Linked DNA regions of Kluyveromyces lactis. The protein of the gene in region 3 interacts with the protein of the main gene of each other region in a pairwise test. Links are inferred from orthologs where the notes say so. Each region holds a gene or a part of one and is shown on either strand. Other genes may lie near its edges.

The links.
Region 1: the proteins of HSH155 (region 3) and BUD13 interact in binary tests that used the Saccharomyces cerevisiae proteins (3 or more experiments, as listed by UniProt). The link is inferred for Kluyveromyces lactis from reciprocal best matches to the Saccharomyces cerevisiae genes HSH155 and BUD13.
Region 2: the proteins of HSH155 (region 3) and RSE1 interact in binary tests that used the Saccharomyces cerevisiae proteins (3 or more experiments, as listed by UniProt). The link is inferred for Kluyveromyces lactis from reciprocal best matches to the Saccharomyces cerevisiae genes HSH155 and RSE1.
Region 4: the proteins of HSH155 (region 3) and PRP5 interact in a two-hybrid assay, tested with the Saccharomyces cerevisiae proteins (3 studies listed by BioGRID). The link is inferred for Kluyveromyces lactis from reciprocal best matches to the Saccharomyces cerevisiae genes HSH155 and PRP5.
Region 5: the proteins of HSH155 (region 3) and CLF1 interact in a two-hybrid assay, tested with the Saccharomyces cerevisiae proteins (2 studies listed by BioGRID). The link is inferred for Kluyveromyces lactis from reciprocal best matches to the Saccharomyces cerevisiae genes HSH155 and CLF1.

Annotation. Positions count from the first base shown.
Region 1 is NC_006042.1:2,095,187-2,097,868, reverse strand, and holds BUD13 (Bud13p), read left to right. Parts: upstream 1-1,369; coding exon 1,370-2,176; downstream 2,177-2,682. Other genes in the region: ssDNA endodeoxyribonuclease SAE2, read right to left, coding at 17-1,066; chromatin-binding exonuclease XRN1, read right to left, coding at 2,273-2,682. UniProt on the Saccharomyces cerevisiae protein: Required for efficient splicing and pre-mRNA nuclear retention. May also be involved in positioning the proximal bud pole signal.
Region 2 is NC_006037.1:720,804-725,028, reverse strand, and holds the start of RSE1 (U2 snRNP complex subunit RSE1), read right to left. Parts: upstream 2,813-4,225; coding exon 1-2,812. Other genes in the region: GSF2 (Gsf2p), read left to right, coding at 4,047-4,225. UniProt on the Saccharomyces cerevisiae protein: Involved in G2/M transition. Required for pre-mRNA splicing and endoplasmic reticulum (ER) to Golgi secretion pathway. U2 snRNPs associated protein required for the pre-spliceosome assembly.
Region 3 is NC_006037.1:834,171-838,454, reverse strand, and holds the start of HSH155 (U2 snRNP complex subunit HSH155), read right to left. Parts: upstream 2,803-4,284; coding exon 1-2,802. Other genes in the region: GPI-anchor transamidase subunit GPI16, read left to right, coding at 3,069-4,284. UniProt on the Saccharomyces cerevisiae protein: Contacts pre-mRNA on both sides of the branch site early in spliceosome assembly.
Region 4 is NC_006042.1:966,365-970,379, forward strand, and holds PRP5 (DEAD-box RNA helicase PRP5), read right to left. Parts: upstream 2,811-4,015; coding exon 372-2,810; downstream 1-371. Other genes in the region: KLLA0_F10483g (uncharacterized protein), read left to right, coding at 53-337; ABD1 (mRNA (guanine-N7)-methyltransferase), read left to right, coding at 3,440-4,015.
Region 5 is NC_006042.1:1,644,087-1,648,146, forward strand, and holds CLF1 (Clf1p), read left to right. Parts: upstream 1-1,505; coding exon 1,506-3,560; downstream 3,561-4,060. Other genes in the region: MTQ2 (S-adenosylmethionine-dependent methyltransferase), read right to left, coding at 1-559; NEDD8 family protein RUB1, read left to right, coding at 817-965, 1,067-1,151; mRNA splicing protein MSL5, read right to left, coding at 3,662-4,060. UniProt on the Saccharomyces cerevisiae protein: Involved in pre-mRNA splicing and cell cycle progression. Required for the spliceosome assembly by promoting the functional integration of the U4/U6.U5 tri-snRNP particle into the U1-, U2-dependent pre-spliceosome.

The DNA.
Region 1 (2,682 bases), on a different chromosome or scaffold from region 3:
TAGCTAATACGTCCTTTTATCTGGTGAATATCTTCAATTCGTTTTCATTCCAAGTGAAATTGCCATCGTCAACGATGTCATTCAATTTGGAGTTCCTGAAGTAAAATTCTCTTTCAGATATAGGCACTAAATTATTCGTAGCTTCGAGAAACCGTGTTTTTGTTTTCTGATAAAGCAATTTCCTCGACTCCTCTTTGTCGTCCAATCTTTCTTGGGTGGTTGGGAAGTTAAGCCTTCCATATCCAGGAGGAGATTTTGATCTAACACGTAGATTATCGAAGGAATCGTCAGGAAACTGAAGGTCGGGAACTTTTGACCTGTCTGACACACTAGTTTCGTCGACAGTTTCGAGTAACCCGGTACTGTTTAGTACAACGTTTTGTTTACTTTTCAGTGGTGATCCAGCTTGAGCGTGAAAACGAGCTACTTTATTGGATTTCTTGCATCCCCTTCCTCGATTTTTTGAGGACACTAGTTCATTGATCTTGAAATCTTCATAGATCCAAGGTTTCTTCGTAATTGGATTTATGGAGAAATCAACCGAGATTTTACCCCTTTTAATATTCTCCTTCTCATTGTTCCTATTAGCTTGTGGCATAGTAGTTGCATTTATTGGTGACCTACCACGTTTAGATTTTGCTATGACACTCTGATGTGAATGTTGTATGTTGATATCATTCTCCTTCAAGATGTCTGACGCTTGGGAATCAAGGATAATCTCGTTTTCTTTCAAAGGGGAACTCATCAGCTCTAAATCACGTTGTAGTCCTTGATTACGTTCTCTTGCCAATGGTTCAGCGTGTTCTTGTTCAATAGTACTTTTCACAGTCGCGTTTTTCTTCACATGTATTGGATCAAACTGAGTAGACGGGAGGTCATCATAGCTGCTAAGACCGTCCTTCATGTATTCATCCAAGTCATCTTGAATATTCTGTCCCTGTGGCTGAATTATTTCGACGTACCGTCGATCCATTTCCGATACTAATTGTTTTTGTAAAGAAAGTAACTGAGACCATTCTAATCGATGTAGCCATGCCTCTAGGCTTTCCTCTGATTCTTGACTCATCGCAGTAAAGATTCTTGCCAAGCAGAATCCTGAGAACTCAATATGTGTCCACAGTAAGGGTCTAACAAACTAGCTACAGTACAAAGTGGTGACGCGAAACCTTAGCTCTTTATCGAACTAACAGTTACATTGTTGATATTTTATGCTTTTTTCTGGAAAAGAAAACCTTATTTTGATTTCAGATTAAGGCTAACATGGCTATAGAGCTCCCCAACAGAAGCAGATTCTCAGATGTTTACATAGCTGTAGAGCTTATCACAGCATTTAGGGTGGGTAGAATTGCAAACCGACCCAATTAATATAATGTCACTTAACGATTTTTTGGCGAAGTCTTACGGCTCAAAGCACGGTAAAGAGAAGACGAAAAAGTCTAAGGATAAGTCATCACACAGAAAGAGCGATGAGTCTAAAAGAGTCACATCAAGAAATATTGATATTATTGACAAGGCTAATCTTATTACTGAAGAAAACAAGAAGGCTGCAAGCTCAAATAAAACAGGAAAGTCTCTTTGGAAAAACCTTGAAACTGAAAAGTTGGAACTTGTACAACACGTTGATGTCGACAAAAAGGACGATAGTAAGGAAAGGATGTCGTCAGGCGCCTTTGCTGGGTTACAGACAGCAGAAGAGATGGAAAAGCAGATCGCAGAAAAGGAAAAACTTTCTATGCAAAAATCAGGGCTTCTCAAGAAGAATCAGAACACAGTATATAGAGACGAAAAAGGTAAGGTAATAGATGGATACGAAGAAGAATTGAAACTTCGAGAAAAGGCTAATTTGACAGCGAAAGTACGTAAGGAAGAAGAACTTAAAATACGAAATATAGGCGAAGTACAAATATCAAAACTTGATCGCAAAACTGAGAAAAGTGCATTATTATCAACCGAAGATCCATTGAATCAAGGAAACACCCTGCGAGGAACGAATACGTCACTGTTGGGTCGAAGGCTTTACGAGAAAAACTTTCCAGAAAATCGGTTCGGTATCGTTCCCGGTTATAGATGGGATGGAGTTGATAGATCAAATGGGTTTGAAACTAAGTGGTTTGCTAAGAGTCACGATATCGCTGATCAAAAAATAAAGGAACAAACAACAAACCGGGAATTTTGAAAAGTTGAACCTGAAAGTGTCTCTATTCTTATATACTAAGCATTATTTACTGAAGTGATATAATATTTACTGTTAATAGTCCATTCAAACCAACATTCAGGTTTCAGTTTTTTTAGGAGAATTTTTGAAATGACCACCCCTCCCGGAGGCACCACGACCACGATTACTACGGCCACGACGACCGCCACGAGAATGAGAAGATCTCTTTGTATCATCTGAGTCTTTATTCTCCACATTTGCTGTACGTCCATTCTCATCTCTAATTAGGAGATTCTTAAGATTCCTGGATGCCTCTTTATCTAATGGTGGATTTTGTACAGGTTGTGACTGAGGAGGAGCTGCATAAGCAATATGCTCATTATTCGGAATGAAAGGCGGCTGCATCATAAGAGGATGAGGAATACCACCAGGAACCATATGTGGGGGAACAGTGAAATTGTAAGGCAGAGAATTTGCTGGAGGTGGTTGAATTTGCTGTTGAGAACCTGGTTTGATTTGGTTCAAGA
Region 2 (4,225 bases), about 110 kb from region 3:
TCCCTGATTCAGTAGATATGACAATATATTTAACATTTGTACCGAAATTGCAACTACAGACAGCATTAAAGACCTCTTTAGCAATAATCACGACCGTATTCCCATTGTTTGTTGCCAATAGCTTATCATCGCGAATAGCTGATAGACTGGTTTCTTTATTAGCTGTCTTTGAAATAACATATGATAACGAATTGTCCGTTGTATCTGAAAGGATCCGTTGTGATTGATAACCAACGATTTCGTACTTCTCACTTGCATCTTCATCCTCATCTTCATCCTCATCTTCATCCTCTTCTTCATTGCCAGCGTTTTTAAGTTCGTCATTAACAAGGGTATACTTTTTCTCATTGAACCAGTTACTCCAGGACAAAAAGTTATCTAATTTGCCGATTAGGAGTTGCCCTTTGCTGGTTATGGAACAGCAGCCGTTGCGCTTGATATCATCCGTGATAAAAGCATTTATATGTTTCAAGGTTATCCCCTCATCTGTTTTCAAAGGACGTAATGTGATTTTATCATCAATTTCGTAAGTTACCCAAGATATGCTTGAATTCAATACCACTAGTGGAGTGAAATCCGAAATCTTCTTCTTGAAATCGTCTATTTTTGAATCATTTTCTCCAGGTTCATCATCATCATCATCTTTGTGATTGATATCTATATTGTCCAAGAGATTTACCTGGACGGGCTTCGTTCCGACAAATCTAGTACGTACATCGAACACTGTGCCATCATTGATATTGAGTTTAGATGACAGATAAACACCACTTTTCATACCTACGTGGATCTTAAGATCCGACGTGTCCCGCATGAAAAGTAGAGAGTGCGGTTTTGATATTAGTGACTGAATAGCACAGATAGTGAAAAAATCTGGATGTTTACTCTGTAAGTTGAGAATCTGCAGACTAGAATCTTCACATCCTAATACACAATAGCCTGACTTTTGACCGGCGAGCAATGCAATAGAATTCACTGTAGAATCCATCTCCACTCGATCCTGTAATTCGTTTAACGAATCTTCTATGATTTCAAAATAGCATATTTCATGATTTGTTAAAGCGACAACTAACTGTGTCTCATTACAAAATGCTGTCACGATGCCAACACCAGCTGGTGGATACCATTCAAGTTTTTTGGTGTATGGACCATCATGCATTTCAATAATTTGTAAAAGACAATCCCGAGTAACTTGAATAATACTTCTTTGAACCATAGCGCCAACAAACAATGATGGTTTGTTCAAAATAAATGGGTTTGAATCTCCACCAAAATCTTCGACAGTTCCCTCATGGATCTTCAAGATGGTCGTTGAGGTTTCCATAGAAAGAAATATCAGACTGTGAGTTTCGTTTTTAGGAATTCTAACGGTCCAAAGTTTTGATGGTATTCTAGGTAATGTAGTTGATATAAGTTCTTCAAAATCAACCGCAGAAGTCAATTTAACAAGATTCTCAGTTTGATTGGCTGCAGCCAATATCGTGAGTGGTGTCGAATTTGATGCATGAAATGACGTCAAGGGATTTAAAGAAGTTAAGGAGTCAAGAATGGATAGGTTTTTCAAAGTGGACTCTGTTTCAATAAATGATCTCCTTCCCGGGGTATAAGATGTAATTTTTTCTAGATCTTCACCAAGACTTTCGAACTGTGTTAAATAAGAGGTCCCGAATTCTGATACGTTGAAAAGAGCACCTGACTTGAAAATGTGGATGTCTTCAGAAGTGGGGAGTGTATCAAAGTATGCAATTTCAAGAACTGGCGCCTTAGTTTCTTCATCAGGGATAATTCCGACCTTGTACATATCTCCGTGGTTAGACTGCATTAGGATGAAAAAATCTTTCTTCAATTTATGAATAGTACCGTTGATGATATTAGTTGACGAAACAGTTTTTCTGACGGGGAGTTGAACAGACACTTCATAAAAGCCTTCTAAGTCTATCAGAGTCAAGTATCCATCATAACCACAAATAACAAATGGATTTACCGAATCTTGATCAGTTTCATCATTCGGTCTAGTTTTAATCTTATACTGTTGTAAATTTGGGCATTGCATAACGAAATTGATGGATTTATCCTCTAAAAGATGCTCTTTCCGGAGTAGCAACGTGTTAAGACCCAAATCCATTGTATAAAAAGACAAATAGTAATCATTTGTCCCAGATTCTACCTCTATGGCAGCATTCACCGGATTATCAAAACTTACATCACAAGCTGCCGATGCCAAAGTGATTCTATCACTTCGTTGAATCTCTATAGGAGAACCAACAACCAATTTCCCACGTTGCCAGTCAGCCAACACGCACATCTTTGAACGCTCAATCCCACTGAAAAATACACATCTACTCTGTGGATCCGAAACCATTTGATATTGAGGTACAAACCTTCTGATCCCAGATCTGGAAATCGGTTCGTTTGCCAAAGTACGCACGTACACTTTCCCGCTCACGGAATCCCTCTCAAACTGCCAAAATGTTAAATTCCCAGAATCAGTTATCAACACCAAAATCGTATGTGAACATCTATCCATATTCAACTTGGTCATAGAAAGAATAGTAGCTGCTATAGGCCATTTACCCAACGCATCCAATGTTCCATTGCTAACATCGTACAATTCGACACAATCCTGTGTAGCTAGACATAATTGCAGTTCCTTCCGCTTCTTCGATGACCTCGGTCCCTTAACACTTGTTGTATCAGCTTCTGCTGTCGCTAATGATGATCTATCCAAAGTAAAATCACCGATGCAGGAATGAACGTAGTTCCTATGTCGTTGTAAAACAGTGTGCCATAGCAACACTTCAGAGTCCTGAGTCATCCGATCTTCGTTAGCGGGTAACTAAACACACGCTTCAGACGATGATCAGAGGTGTATACTGATGGTAATCAGTAGTGTTGTTCGTCAACTTGCACTCAAGAAGTGCGCTGTTGTTAGTTACTTTGTTTACTTTCAGATTTGGTTTTTTGCCGCCCTTATGAAGAAGTTAGGAAATACTATTTCAAAAACTTACACGTGACCAACAAATCCCAAAAAGTCAACAACATGTTACCCTGACATCACGTCACACGAAAAGATGCGATCACGTGACCAGAATGACATGAGACTCCACATTGTTTCGGAAAAACTTCTGTTGGAGCAGGAGCGAAGTGCTCGTTCAAAGCGGAATAAGAAAACACAGAAACATACGCAAAGGCTGTTTATCGCTCCATATGGACGGAAAAACTTACGATGAAGAGAGCGTACAGGCATGCTTGTACGTTGAGAAAGAAAGGCACACAGTCATTGTTTTAATCCATTACGAGATCAGCATGTAATTCGATACTACTTGTTCCCTTACCGGCACTGGCTCTGGCACTGGTGTCGTTAAACGGTATCACGTTTTGGTAACCCCACAAATGTGCACCTGATGGTGCAGAAACGTAAATATGGTTCACCAAGTTCAAAGCACAAGGCGTATTACGCTACTAACTCTAAGTAGGTGTTTCTCTTCTTCAGAAAAGAAAAACACCGTATGAGGATTCAAATGCCATAGCTTGACTGGTAGACACTCTGTATTGGTTTTTTTGACTTTCTCTTCTGGTCAGAGGAGCAAGTATGAGAAAACTCTTTGTCTGTCTCTACACGTTGATTTATACATTGTTACTGGGGAAATATTAATCGGCCGCATACAGATATCGGGTGGACTCATATTGGCAGATCAGCTCTGTGTGTGTGTTTATTTTTTTCTTCTTCCTCTCTGTGTGTCCGTTCCTTTTCACCAGGAAAAACCTTAATAATATATAATAACGGAAACATGACATATGCTAAAACTTGGTAAGTACGAAATGTTTTCTTCTAGGATAAAAGGCTGAACTCTAGAGTGTAATTTACTACACCAAAGCAAATTTGCCATCCGAACCAACCAGAGACGGTATAAGGTTAAGATCAGATTACAACAAAGCAGTGCTAGTTACTATACTCAGTACTTTTTCAAGATTTATCAGAGAGGAAGGCGAATATTTCCGGTTTTGTGGGAAAATTAACATCAATAACCAATAGCAAACTAGTCGCAATGGAGGTTTACGTGCGTATGAATGATGATTTAGAGTACGATTATGCGTTTCAAGTACAAAAAGATGATACTTTAGAACAAAAAATTGCCTTAATATTTAATAAGGAAAAGGGTCTTTCAAGGTTTATGGTTTTGAAGCCATCAATTTTTTATAAGAACGAACCATCTGGTTTCAGGAA
Region 3 (4,284 bases):
TTGAGCGACGTATGCTCCGTTATATAGTTTCCAATATGCGTTCCGAACATTCTTAGCAGGATGAAATAAACCTCCCCAGGCATAATTCATAGAAACACCTGGTCCTAGAGCCATTCTTAGTCCTTCTAGCCCCTCTAGGATTCTGGAAATAACATGAGGTGAAGTTTCAAAGACGTTTGGCAATAATAAATTCATGCAATGGATGAACGCGTCCTCTAATCCTCTTCCTGCACAATTGAAAGCTAAATGCTTTATGCAGGTTGCTGCAGTTTGTCGATGAACCAAGTCCCTATCTGTTAGAGCATCCTGCAACAACGGTATAAGTGGATAAATGTAATCCTTAGACATGGGACCAATGTATTCTAAAATAAAGGCAAGTGCCTTTAAAATACCGTTCTGTACGTTTGTGTCAGGTGTTCTGTATTCATTCATCAATGCAGGTATGACAACAAATGGCCCACATGTCTTAGCAACGATACCAATTGCAATAGAGGTGTTAACACGAAGTTGACGTTCTTGCACCTTCAAATTATTTAACAACGTTACCAAAACATCCTGAGGTCCTATCGCTTTGGCAATATATCCAAATGTTCTGTTCGCTGCCACCCTGATGGACTTCACAGGACTTTTTAACATTTCCAAAAGCTCAGAACAAATGCGCATCCATTCTTTAGGAGAAACATATTCAGGCCCACGCCTGGCAATTCTTCCAACAAGTTTAACAGTAGATTCCTGGACTAAAGGATGGTTGTTTCTCAAAATTGGTGTCAATGATAGTAAAATTTGATTCGGAGGTGGTTGTAAGTCAGTTAGCCTTATCTGTGCAGCAGCTTTGTCCATTGCGGAAATGATTGCAGCTAACACCTCTGGATAAACTTCGCCTAACGATTCAAAAAGGATAATGTTGAATTTATTGATAAGAGCTGTTTCTTCACAGTGTTTGAAAACCGGGATCAAGAGGGCACATAAACTCGCCGCATGTGTTCTAACCAAAGGTTTTTTGTGTTTCAAATGTTCTAGAATAATACTTGACACCGGCGAAATATACGGTTTCATTCTGGTATTCAAAGATTTGGCGACAGTTCCAATAGATCTGTAGACAATTCTCTCACCATTCGTTTGATCTTGGAATGCAATAAGTAAAGCATCAAGCAACCTCGCTTCAAGCCTTTCATCAACATCTGTCATTCCTAATGCTTTCACAACTCTGTTAACTGCATGTGCACCCATTGTTCTGAACGGTTCAGATTCATCCTTTAATGGATATATAAGCTTTTCAAGCGTGAATGCAGCTCCAGTCTTATTAGCCAATAAAACAGTAGTAAATGTTACTATGTTGTTGAGTTGACGATCCAAAGCCGATCTACGAACCCAAAATTGTTTGAAAAACTCTGCTGCTAGCTCTTTTCTCAGATACTGAGGTGTTACACCTTCAGTCACGGAAAGCTTTTGTATAACAAATAGAACCGTTTTCTTCATATCTTCGTTCGGTGAATTGAATTCTCTCTTTACAATCTTCATCACTTCTTCAGCGTAATACGACGCATATTCGGGATCCATCAACGGAATGAGAAATCCTAGAGCCTTCAAAAATGCAGCTAGTTCTCTTCCCCTGTTTTGTTTAACACCTCTCCAAAGTGGTTCGAGGACCGGATTAAAGCGCTCAATACCATATGGCTGGCAGCTTTGTGCCAATGATGACACTGTTTGAGCGGCTATGATTCTCACTGGAGGATGTTCATCTTGAAATCCCTTCTCTATACATGCGATAAGATCGTCGAGGTATGGTAAGCTACCAATCCCTACTAAAATAGCAATTTGCTGAATTATCTTTATCCCAGTATGTCTTGCCTTCCAGCTCTTTTTCGATCTACAAACCAATCGTAGGAATGGTATTGTTTGACTTACCCCGAAGGCTTTCGATACAACGGCCATTGCTCTCGCCGTCGTGTTTCGCACATACTCATCCTCATGGTCGAGATCTGGTCTCATTGTGTATATCATTGTCGGTAGTCCCACGGCTTTTGCCAAAGTAGTTATAATATCTCTACCTGTAGATCTAGTCAAGGGCACAGGATCTATAAGCATAGGACATAATACTATTAGGAGCTTATGTGTATATGGTTTTACCAAATCCTGGAGCTGGAAAAGAATTCTATCCATAAGTTTCAACATTAGTTGATGCTCTTCATCTTCAAGTGTTTTATCGAGAAGAATGGGCAAGATCGAATCAAATAACAATGGTGCCCCGAAAGAGGGTGCCTTTTGAGTGAGTGCTCTGAGAGCTATTTTCCTAGAGCTTGGTAACCCATTTTTCACCTTAAGTACCAATTTTAAAACCTGTTTCTGTTTCCTTTCCTCTTCAGTCATATCTTCTGGAGACCTTTCATCAAACAAAATTGCGAAATGTTGTCTGTCTGAAGGCTTAAAGAACTGAAGATTACGTACCCCTGGAACTTCAGTAACCATCTCTTCCGAGAGCTCAGTTATAATATGCTGCGAAGTCTTGGGCATCGTATATCCACCGCCACTTTCCTCTTCCTTATCACCATCCTTATCGGTTTTCCTTCTTTTCACATCTTTCACTTGCTCTTCATCCACTTCTTCATCCAAATTCCTAAGGAACCTTCTCTTATGATAATCAGACTGTTTATTATACAAGCTTCGTTGCTTCTGGTTGGCTGTCAACTCATCATCCCCCTCATCTTTCCCTACAGTCGATTCCAATATGGCTCTGGGAGCAGTGTATTGTCCTGTAAGAGAATGTCGCTGGCCCGACTTTTCGAACTTGATAGCTTCCATTTTAAGTACAGCTGTTTAATACCAAACTCGGCAATAGCAATAAAGATCCTGATTGGTGCTTGCCTTTCAGTTATACCTTTCTTCCTTTTGATTCAAAGGTTCTTGACATCAAAATTGTTACTAAGTTGTAACTCGAATCTTTAATTATAAACACATATACAAAACAAAGAACGATACTTCTCAACAGAGAAAAGAGGATAGTTTAGTTAAGAGGCCAGAAAATAGCCTAACTTTTAGAAAAGTATTATACTCTGGGTCCATACCGCATGAGGTTACAAAATTGGATTCCAGTTTTGCTTCTAGCAGCCATCGTGACGGCTGAAGTAGACTTTGAAGTTAATCCAGTTGACAACGAAACAGAATCAGTTCAGCAAGATGTTATAGATGAAAGCTGGAATGCAGAGCCTGGGGAATCATCGAGAATAACACAGTCCTCGAAGTTTCTTTCACTAGAGCATCCTATTGAGTATAATTTTCGAGAGCATCTGGATCTAACTCCCTTGCCTAACAACTTTTTGCTTGCAAGTTTTCAGTTCTATATGCAATCAGAGCCATTTGGTATAGATAGAGACCAGCACGAATCCAGTGAATACTCTCATCACACAGTTTTCCCGAAGCCCGTTGGGCCCATTATGTCACAGACTAATACCAGACAGTTACACTTGAGATTTACACATGGGCTATGGGATTCACAAGAATGGGGCCAGCTTCCACACAACGGGTTGAAATCTGGAGGAACAGGTGTGGAATTATGGGCTATTGTGGAAGCACCATCGAAGGAAGAAGCGTTGAAATCATGGATAACGTTGGCCAATTCGTTAAGTGGATTGTTCTGTGCTTCCATCAATTTCATTGACACTTCAAAGACGACGTTTCCGGTATCATCATTCTTACCGAAAGAAGACGAAGCGATCCCACTACTGAATCAAAGCAACCATCTTTACCTCATGAGAGCAACTTTAGCCAACGAACCGGTTTGTACTGAAAATTTGACCCCATTTGTAAAACTTTTACCAACAAGAGGGAAATCTGGTATCTCCTCTTTGTTAGATGGCCACAAGATCTTTGATTCAAATTGGCACAGTCTGTCGATTGATGTCAATACTGTTTGTGACGAATCAACTGCCAATTGCCACTTTGTTATGGAAGAATTTATCGAAACAGTGGTCAACGTACCAAATGCTTTGGCCAGAGCTGACAGACCAATTCCGAAGCCTTTACCAGGCGACGAACTTCGTTGTGACACGAATAGACCACACGACGCGTTCCAATGTTTCCCGTTACCTCAAAGCAAAGAAGTTAGTTTCAGCATCTCAAAACTATTTGGTAAGAAAATCCGTGGAGGCAGCTTGCTTGGCGAACAAAGCTCAAAAATATGTGTTCACGTTCCCTCACATTGGGACGTTATGATACAGGTCGACGAATCATATTTTGCAACCGACGACAACTGTTTCGATCTCAACAATAACAAACCACATGATG
Region 4 (4,015 bases), on a different chromosome or scaffold from region 3:
AACGTACAGGATAGAACGAAAAAAGAGAAGCCATTGCTAAGTCATACTGCCGATGGGTCTATGTGGTAGTAAGCCTAGTAAAGGTGTGCCGTTGGCCGCTGATAGTTCAGCACCAAAATCAAATAACAAAACTACATCAAAAAAGAGCACGGGAAGACCGATTGATGTCACGCAAAGTCACCATACCTTATCTCCAAGAGAAGCTGCAAGAGTGGCCGCTGAACAGCGAAATGCTAAACTTGAAGCTGCCAACGCCAAAAGTGAATTGAGTCAGAAACTAGCCCATGAGCGTGCCAAATCCAGGAAAACGCATGTGATGGAAATTGCGCAGAAATGAAACATGTTGGTGAATGATTGAAATTGAAACTAAATTACATACGATATTTACCTGATTGGATATCCTTCACTGCTGCTTTTCGTATTCCCTCTTTAACCTTTGTATTGAGGAGTTCTAATGCCATTGTTACGTCACTTTCTTCTGCACCTTCCACAATCAAATACAATTTAGGATCATCAGTGTCATTCTTTGGCCCTTTTCCTTCAGGGTAGAAGCTACCTTTACTCTCAAAATTACATCCTGTCTCCTGTTTGATGTTCGAGACTGTCTCTGTTTTCGTTGCTTCCCACCTCGCAAGTTGCGGAAGGTCGTTAATATTTATATGTGCAAAATATGTTGTGGAATGTCCTTCTTCCCTTTTACCTCTTGTGTATTCCATTTTGGTTGCTCCGCTTTCTTCCTCTGTCACATCTTCTTCATTTTCAACGACACCATAGTCAGTATATTCTTGAGACTGTTTTGCTTCGTTTAGCTCGTCTAAGTGATCAAGACCTTTTCCACCAAAACCCTGGATCAATCTGTATTTTCCAGTCTTTAGTCCACTCGAAAATTCGTCGTTCATTTCCTTCAATTTTTGATAGACAACCATCGGCACAGAGCTCAACTCGTTCTCTTTCATGCACTTCACCAAAATATAGGCAGATGCAAGTTCATCAACCATAACGAAGGAGAGCGCAACGCCGTTATTAGTCCCACGACCAGTTCTTCCTACGGTATGAACGTATTGTGCGATGGTCTTTGCCGCATTGTATATAATGACAAGAGAAACCTCTGGCACGTTTAGACCTCTTGAGAGTACCTCAGTACATATCAAAATTCCGTTGTCAGTTTCTTTGAATTTTTGCAAGTTGCGAAGACGTTCTGCAGAAGGTTTGCCAGCATGGATAGGAAAAGTGGTGATGCCATTAAGTAAAAGCTCGTCATATAAAAGGTCACAAAGCTGCTGGCTTCCAACGAAAATAATTGTCTTTTCATCTTCACCACGATGCAAGGCTAACCGATCCGAAAGCCTTTTAAGTAGGAACTCAAATTTAACATGTTCCTCATCAAAAATTTGGACTCTCTGCTGAATGTTCTCATTAATAAGTGATTTAGAGTTTATAGTAATTTGAATAGGATTCTTTAAGGTTCGCGATGCAAAATGTTTGAGCTTACTTGGAAATGTAGCACTAAAGAGAACACACTGCTTGTCTGGACGGATGCAGCCCATAATTTGGTTGACTTGGGGTCCAAATCCAAGGTCGAAAAGTCTATCTGCCTCATCCATAACAACAAACGAAATTCTTGTAGGAGATAACAAATGGCCTGAATTTAATGTCATAAGATCAATGAATCTCCCTGGAGTTGCGACAATGATATCAACACCTCTTTTCAATTCATTGATTTGTTGCTTTAACTCCGAGCCTCCCACGCAACAGATGCTTGAAATGCCAGACCCTTTACAAAATTTAAGTGCCTCTTCTTGTATCTGAACGGCCAATTCTCTGGTCGGTGTCAATATAAGACCAATAGGACCAGTCTCATCAGGAGCTAAAGGTGGCTGAGCCTTGATCTGTCTAACAAGTGGTAGGAGAAAAGCGACCGTTTTCCCTGACCCAGTTTTTGAGATACCAATAACATCTCTGCCTGACATAATAGCCGGTATTGCCTGGCATTGAATTGGTGTGAGGGTTACAAACTGTAGTTCGTTGGAGATAAGATCCATGATTTCAGAGGACAAACCAAGCTGTGACCATTTCGTTACAGGTTTGGGACAATCTTTCCCTGAGATTTTAATGTTATCTAATGATAATCGAAGTTCCTCCACATCTTTCTCTGACATCAATCCCAAATCGTTCGGTTCACGATAAAGACATTTATTTAATGTTATTAAGTTTAAAACTTTAGAGTAATCAATGGCTTTTATTTTCTTTCTACCCTTCTTTTTGAATAATATCTCTGAATCAACCGGAGCTTCCTCTTGAGATATCGTTTTCTCTGAGCTACTGTCGTTAGCATCTTCATCCTCTGAAATATTATCAATAAGTCTTACTCGGTTAGTATTCGAATCTTTATCGATAAGCTTGTGGATATATTCATCCAATGCATCATTCCCATCATCCAAATCATCCTTGCTGTTGTCTTTTGTCAGAACATGAGTATTTGTATCGTTTCTACGCGGCTTGAATAACGTTGATGTGGAATTTTCATCATCAGATTCACTATCACTTCCCCCAAAAGCAGGACGTTTTCTCGAACACTGTCCCCTTCGTTTGTTCCTGTCCCTATCCGCAGACTTTATACTGGTAAGTTTTATATCCTTTTGCTTGAGTTCATCTTGTTGTTTCTTCTTCTTCTTCCATGCCTCTAGTTTCTTCAGTCTCTCTTCCTTAGCATCTACAGAAACAGATGCTGTAACATCATTATTCAGTTTCTGTTTTTTCCACTTAGCAAGTTTCTCTTGCCTAATCCGTAGCTTTTCCGTTTGATCCATAACGCTCACCTTCGTAATTTAATTGGGTCTTTTTTCTTCTTTCTGTGTGCTATCTTTCAAGTATTAATCCTGAATGGTTTTAAGGTTTTGTTAATTCAATATTATAGGTATTTTGATATTGAAGGAAATCCTTTCCAAATGGGTATTTTAAACTACTAAATGAAGATGGGAAACACGCTACCTAGTTCATTGCATTCAGTTCATATGACAATTGTCTATATTCTTTGTTATAGTGTCTAAAGTTGACTGATCTTCTAAAGCATCTATTCATTATTTCTTCATTTAGTCTTAAATAACAACTTCCAAAGTGACATCTGAAGTCAAAATGTACAAGGATTAAAAAATGCTATATGAGAGCAGTTGAAAGGACTCTTCATGAAACATTCGAATATGGAAATGAAGCTGAAGCATCCTATACGTTAAACAGCATACTTCTTTTGTAAATGCCTGATCCCATCATTCCCTAAGCGATTTAGCCTTTTTTAGTTTAGCTTTCCCGTTAATATTTCTATATAGTCGATCTTTAGAATGTCATAAAAGTAGTTTCATTCCAAGAAGGTAACACTGACTTGGAGTTCAATAAGGCTTTCGAAACAGGCCGCGACATATCAATTGCGCAAGCTGTCAGCATGGTGTTACTACCTGAGAAGCCAGTATGGATGTCCCAGCAACAATATGAAGAGCAATATGGTTCGTTGCTTAAATTGAAAGAATCAGAGAAGTGCAATCATGAGGACAAACAGCTAGCATTACAACCCAAAGAAAGTAGCATCGGATATTCGACGCAGGAAAGAATAGCAAAGCTTTCAGTACCAGAAGTTCAAGATGACGACAAAAATAGCAAGGTGCGCAACAGGAAACATCAGCGATTTGATTTAGAAGAGAAGAAGAAAAAGCTGAGGCTGCAGAAGACTATAGAAGAACAAATAAAACATCATGATATTGAAATGACAGCTAATAGAGTCGTGAATGTTGACCATGTTGTCAGGCAACATTATAATGAGCGTACGTTTCTTTCCAAAAAGCATAACAGAAATTATTCTCCTATCATTAAACTTAGAAACTTTAATAATGCTATCAAGTACATTCTCATTGACAAGTTTACAAGAGCAGGAGATGTAGTCTTGGAGCTTGCCTGTGGTAAAGGTGGTGATTTAAGGAAATATGGTGCCGCAGGAATATCACAGTTTATTGGTATTGACATT
Region 5 (4,060 bases), on a different chromosome or scaffold from region 3:
GTTTATTTCTAGCACAAAACAATATGTACGCTACTCCGTTGCAGCTAAGAATTCTGTCCAATCCATTCAATAGTCTCTGTGTGACCACCATCCCATCATCACCACCATCCAATGCTAGAAAGAGCCACTCATCATCACGAACAGCATGATTTGAATGAGGCAGTTCTGGTACAGTTTCTGCAGGTACATATGGTGGATTAAAGACAAGCAGGTCGACCTCATTTTCCCTTATTGAAGACGTAAGGTCTGTTTGTAATACATCAAAATGGCTATTCTTGCAACCATTCTTCGAACAAGTGTCTAAGGTAGCGTCCAATGCCCAAGGGTTCAAATCAGTTGCCAAATAAAGTCCATTGGCGTTTGGTATACCATTTTGCATAAGAAACGTAGAGACTATCCCAGAACCAGAACCAATTTCTATAGTCAATGGTACTGCGTCATTGAACCTGTTATTCAACCAACTCAGATCAGCTTCTAATGCATCTAATAAAAGAAAAGAGTCCTCGCTTGGCTCGTATACTTTATTATAATCATAAGAGACGTATGGTGTAGCTAGCATCGCCCTGTTATCCTAAGCCCTGATGAGCTATAGCTCGCATCAATATCTGTTCTGCACCTGTATCTTTTCAAACATGGAAGTCATCGCATATATAATATTGTATTTGAAAAGTTGATATTGAACAATAACGTATGCAAAAGGTCATCTAAAAGAAAGTAATTAAATTGAAGCTTAACAACTAGTCTACTGTTTGATACAACTATTAATCACCATTTTCAGAGAATCGACAATCAGTTGCTTGTTTGTGGTTGAGAAAGATGCAATTAAAGGTCAAGACATTAACAGGGAAGGAAATCTCCGTAGATGTTCAAAGTTCAGAAACGGTCTATCATATCAAAGAGCTATTAGAAGAAAAAGAGGGTATTCCACCATCACAGCAGAAGTTGATCTTCCAGGGCAAACAAATGTATGTTAATTAACTGATAATTCAGAACTGAGAAGAGTTTGATATCAAATTAATGTAGGGACTCTTTTACTAACTAGTAAGTAATGCTATCTTTAAATCAGAGATGATAACGCAACAATCGGCAGTGCCGACTTGCAAGATGGATCTCTTTTACATCTTGTTCTAACTTTAAGAGGCGGTTGTTGAGAGCCATGTGTCATTGCATTGCGAAACCTCAAGATACGTATGTGTATAAGTATTTTGCAGATAAATACCTGGAGGAATTACTCTGCATTTAATAAAACGACTATAATTATTGGAAGCTAACACTATGAATGACATAATTTACATTTACACGACCGTCCAATTATCAAACAAAGGAAGGATGTAACACATGCTTGTTGCTTTTCCTTGTATGCATGAATGAACCTTATAAATACATAATGATTCAGATATCAAATTTAGTGCGAACATTATAATTGTAGAAACAGATGAACTTAACGACAACGATGCAAACAAAAGTAAGAAAAACACGGATAACTTACCTGACTATACTGTAACATGGGTGACAATAGTTTATCCAATGAAGCCATCACTGCCGATAATATTTTGAAGGATGCCTTTAGCCAAAAGAAGCAGATTGCAGCTACTACGAAGGCAGATATATTAGATTTGGAAGAACTGAAAGACTGGCAACGAAGGAAAAGAACAGAGTATGAGACAGTTTTGAAAAGAAATAGGTTAGACCTTCGTCAATGGATGAGGTATGCTCAATTTGAATTTGATCAGAAAGATATACGAAGAGCTAGGTCCATTTATGAACGCGCTCTTCTTGTTGATCATGGGTTTATTCCACTATGGATTCAATACATCGACAGTGAAATCAAATGGAAAAATATCAACCATGCAAGGAACTTGTTAGACAGAGCAACAAACGCTCTTCCTCGTGTTGATAAGCTCTGGTTCAAATATCTTTTATTGGAAGAATCTTTGGGAAATCAGGGTATTGTACGAGGCATTTATACAAGATGGTGTTCATTTGAACCTGGTCCCGATGCATGGGACTCCTTCATCGAGTTCGAAACAAGGTGCTTGAATTTTGAAAATGTCAGGAACATTTACTCGAAGTTTGTTCTAGTCCATCCTCAAATAGATACCTGGTTGAAATGGGTTCGTTTTGAACAAACTCATGGAGATATATCATCCGTACGAACAGTGTTCTCATTCGCGCTAGACACACTCACAAGTTTCAGCGGAACACCACTGGTAGATATTGAACGAGTTATTGGTAGCTTCGCTTCCTGGGAAGCTTCTCAGGGAGAGTATGAACGATCTAGAACGTTATACCGACTAGCAGTTGAAAGATGGCCAATTTCTGAAGCATTAAAGGAACAGCAGATTCAGTTCGAGAAGAAGTTCGGCTCTTCGAAAAATATGGAGGACATAGTAATCGCTAAAAGGAAAGCCGAGTACGAGCAATATCTAAAATCAGATCCCTATCATTATTCTACTTGGTGGGTCTATATTGACCTGGTTGAGGAAAAATATCAAGAGCAATTGACATCAGCTTTCCAGTCGTTCATTGAATTGGCAAAGCCGAAGTCCCTGGTAAAGGATTCGAGCTGGAAGAGGTACATAAGAATCTGCGTACGATACTTGGTCTATCTAGAGCTCACCATTAATGATTTGCCTACGATACGCTCGGTTTATCAAGACATCCTCGACATCATTCCACATAAGAAGTTTACATTCGGTAAACTGTGGATAATGTATGCAGAATTCGAAATTAGGCAGAACAACTTGCTGAAAGCAAGAAAAATTCTGGGTGTGAGCTTAGGAAAGTCCCCCAAGCCAAAAGTGTTTAAATATTACATCAATTTGGAGATAAGGCTAAAAGAGTTTGATAGAGTGAGAAAGCTATACGAGAAATACATCGATTTCAATCCTAGTTCAGTGCAATCATGGTTGGATTATGCAGAATTAGAAGAAAATTTAGGAGATGAAGATAGATCAAGAGGGATCTATGATATCTCCATGAGCAATAATGTTGGATTATCTGAATCGGACCAGCTGATTGTCATTCAGCGCTATATCGCTTTTGAAACTGATGCAGCAGAATATGAAAAGGCTAGAGAGTTGTACGAGAAGTATTTGATTTTGAGTAGATATGACGTGAACATATGGATAAACCAGGCGCTTTTCGAGAGCACTATTCCAACTGAGACCCAACTAATAGCCTATCAACAATCTCATCAAGACGGGAATTTTGACGACGATGGCGAAGAGGAGTTCAGTTTTGAAATTACACCTGAGAATAAGCATCACACCAGGGCTATTTTTGAGAAGGCAATTTCATATTTCAAAGAACATAATGAAGATAAGAAACGCCAGCAAGTTTTACAATCTCTCCTGGAGTATGAGAAAGTTCATGGTAATCAAGAAACTTTGGAAAAGGTCAATGCTAGACAACCAAGTTTGGTTAGGGAAAAAGTTACTATCGATAACATTGAGCAAGAGTCATATAAATTGGATTTTCCGGACGATCGTGTTGCTCAACCTCCTATTGCTCGAAATCTTCTAGCTTTGGCAAAACAATGGGAGAAAAATTCCAGCTGATATGTAACTTTATATTCATATACAGATAATACAATTGTAGATTTAGAACACGCATTTAATCAGGTTGGCATATAGGCTATTGAGAAAAAATACGAATTGTATTAATTATTCGTTTCATTATCGGTAAAACTTTGTGGCAACTGGTTTGACGGTATCGAACTGGGTGTTGATATCGTAGAAGGGGTAAGCCCAGGTGCATTCATTGTCGGTACAGATCCTGGGGGCATTAATCCTGGAGGAACGTTGCCTGGTGCTGCTGCCAATCCTGGTGCTGCCAATCCTGGTGCTGCCAATCCTGGTGCTGCCAATCCTGGTGCTGCCAATCCTGGTGCTGCCAATCCTGGTGCTGCCAATCCTGGTGCTGCCATTCCTGGTGCTGCCATTCCTGGTGCTGCCATTCCGGGAGGAGATAAACCTGGGGGTGCCATTCCTGGAGTAGCAATATTTAAGTTTCCTTCAGTGATACCTATTCCAGACGTTGAATTTTCTGCAGCCAGAGA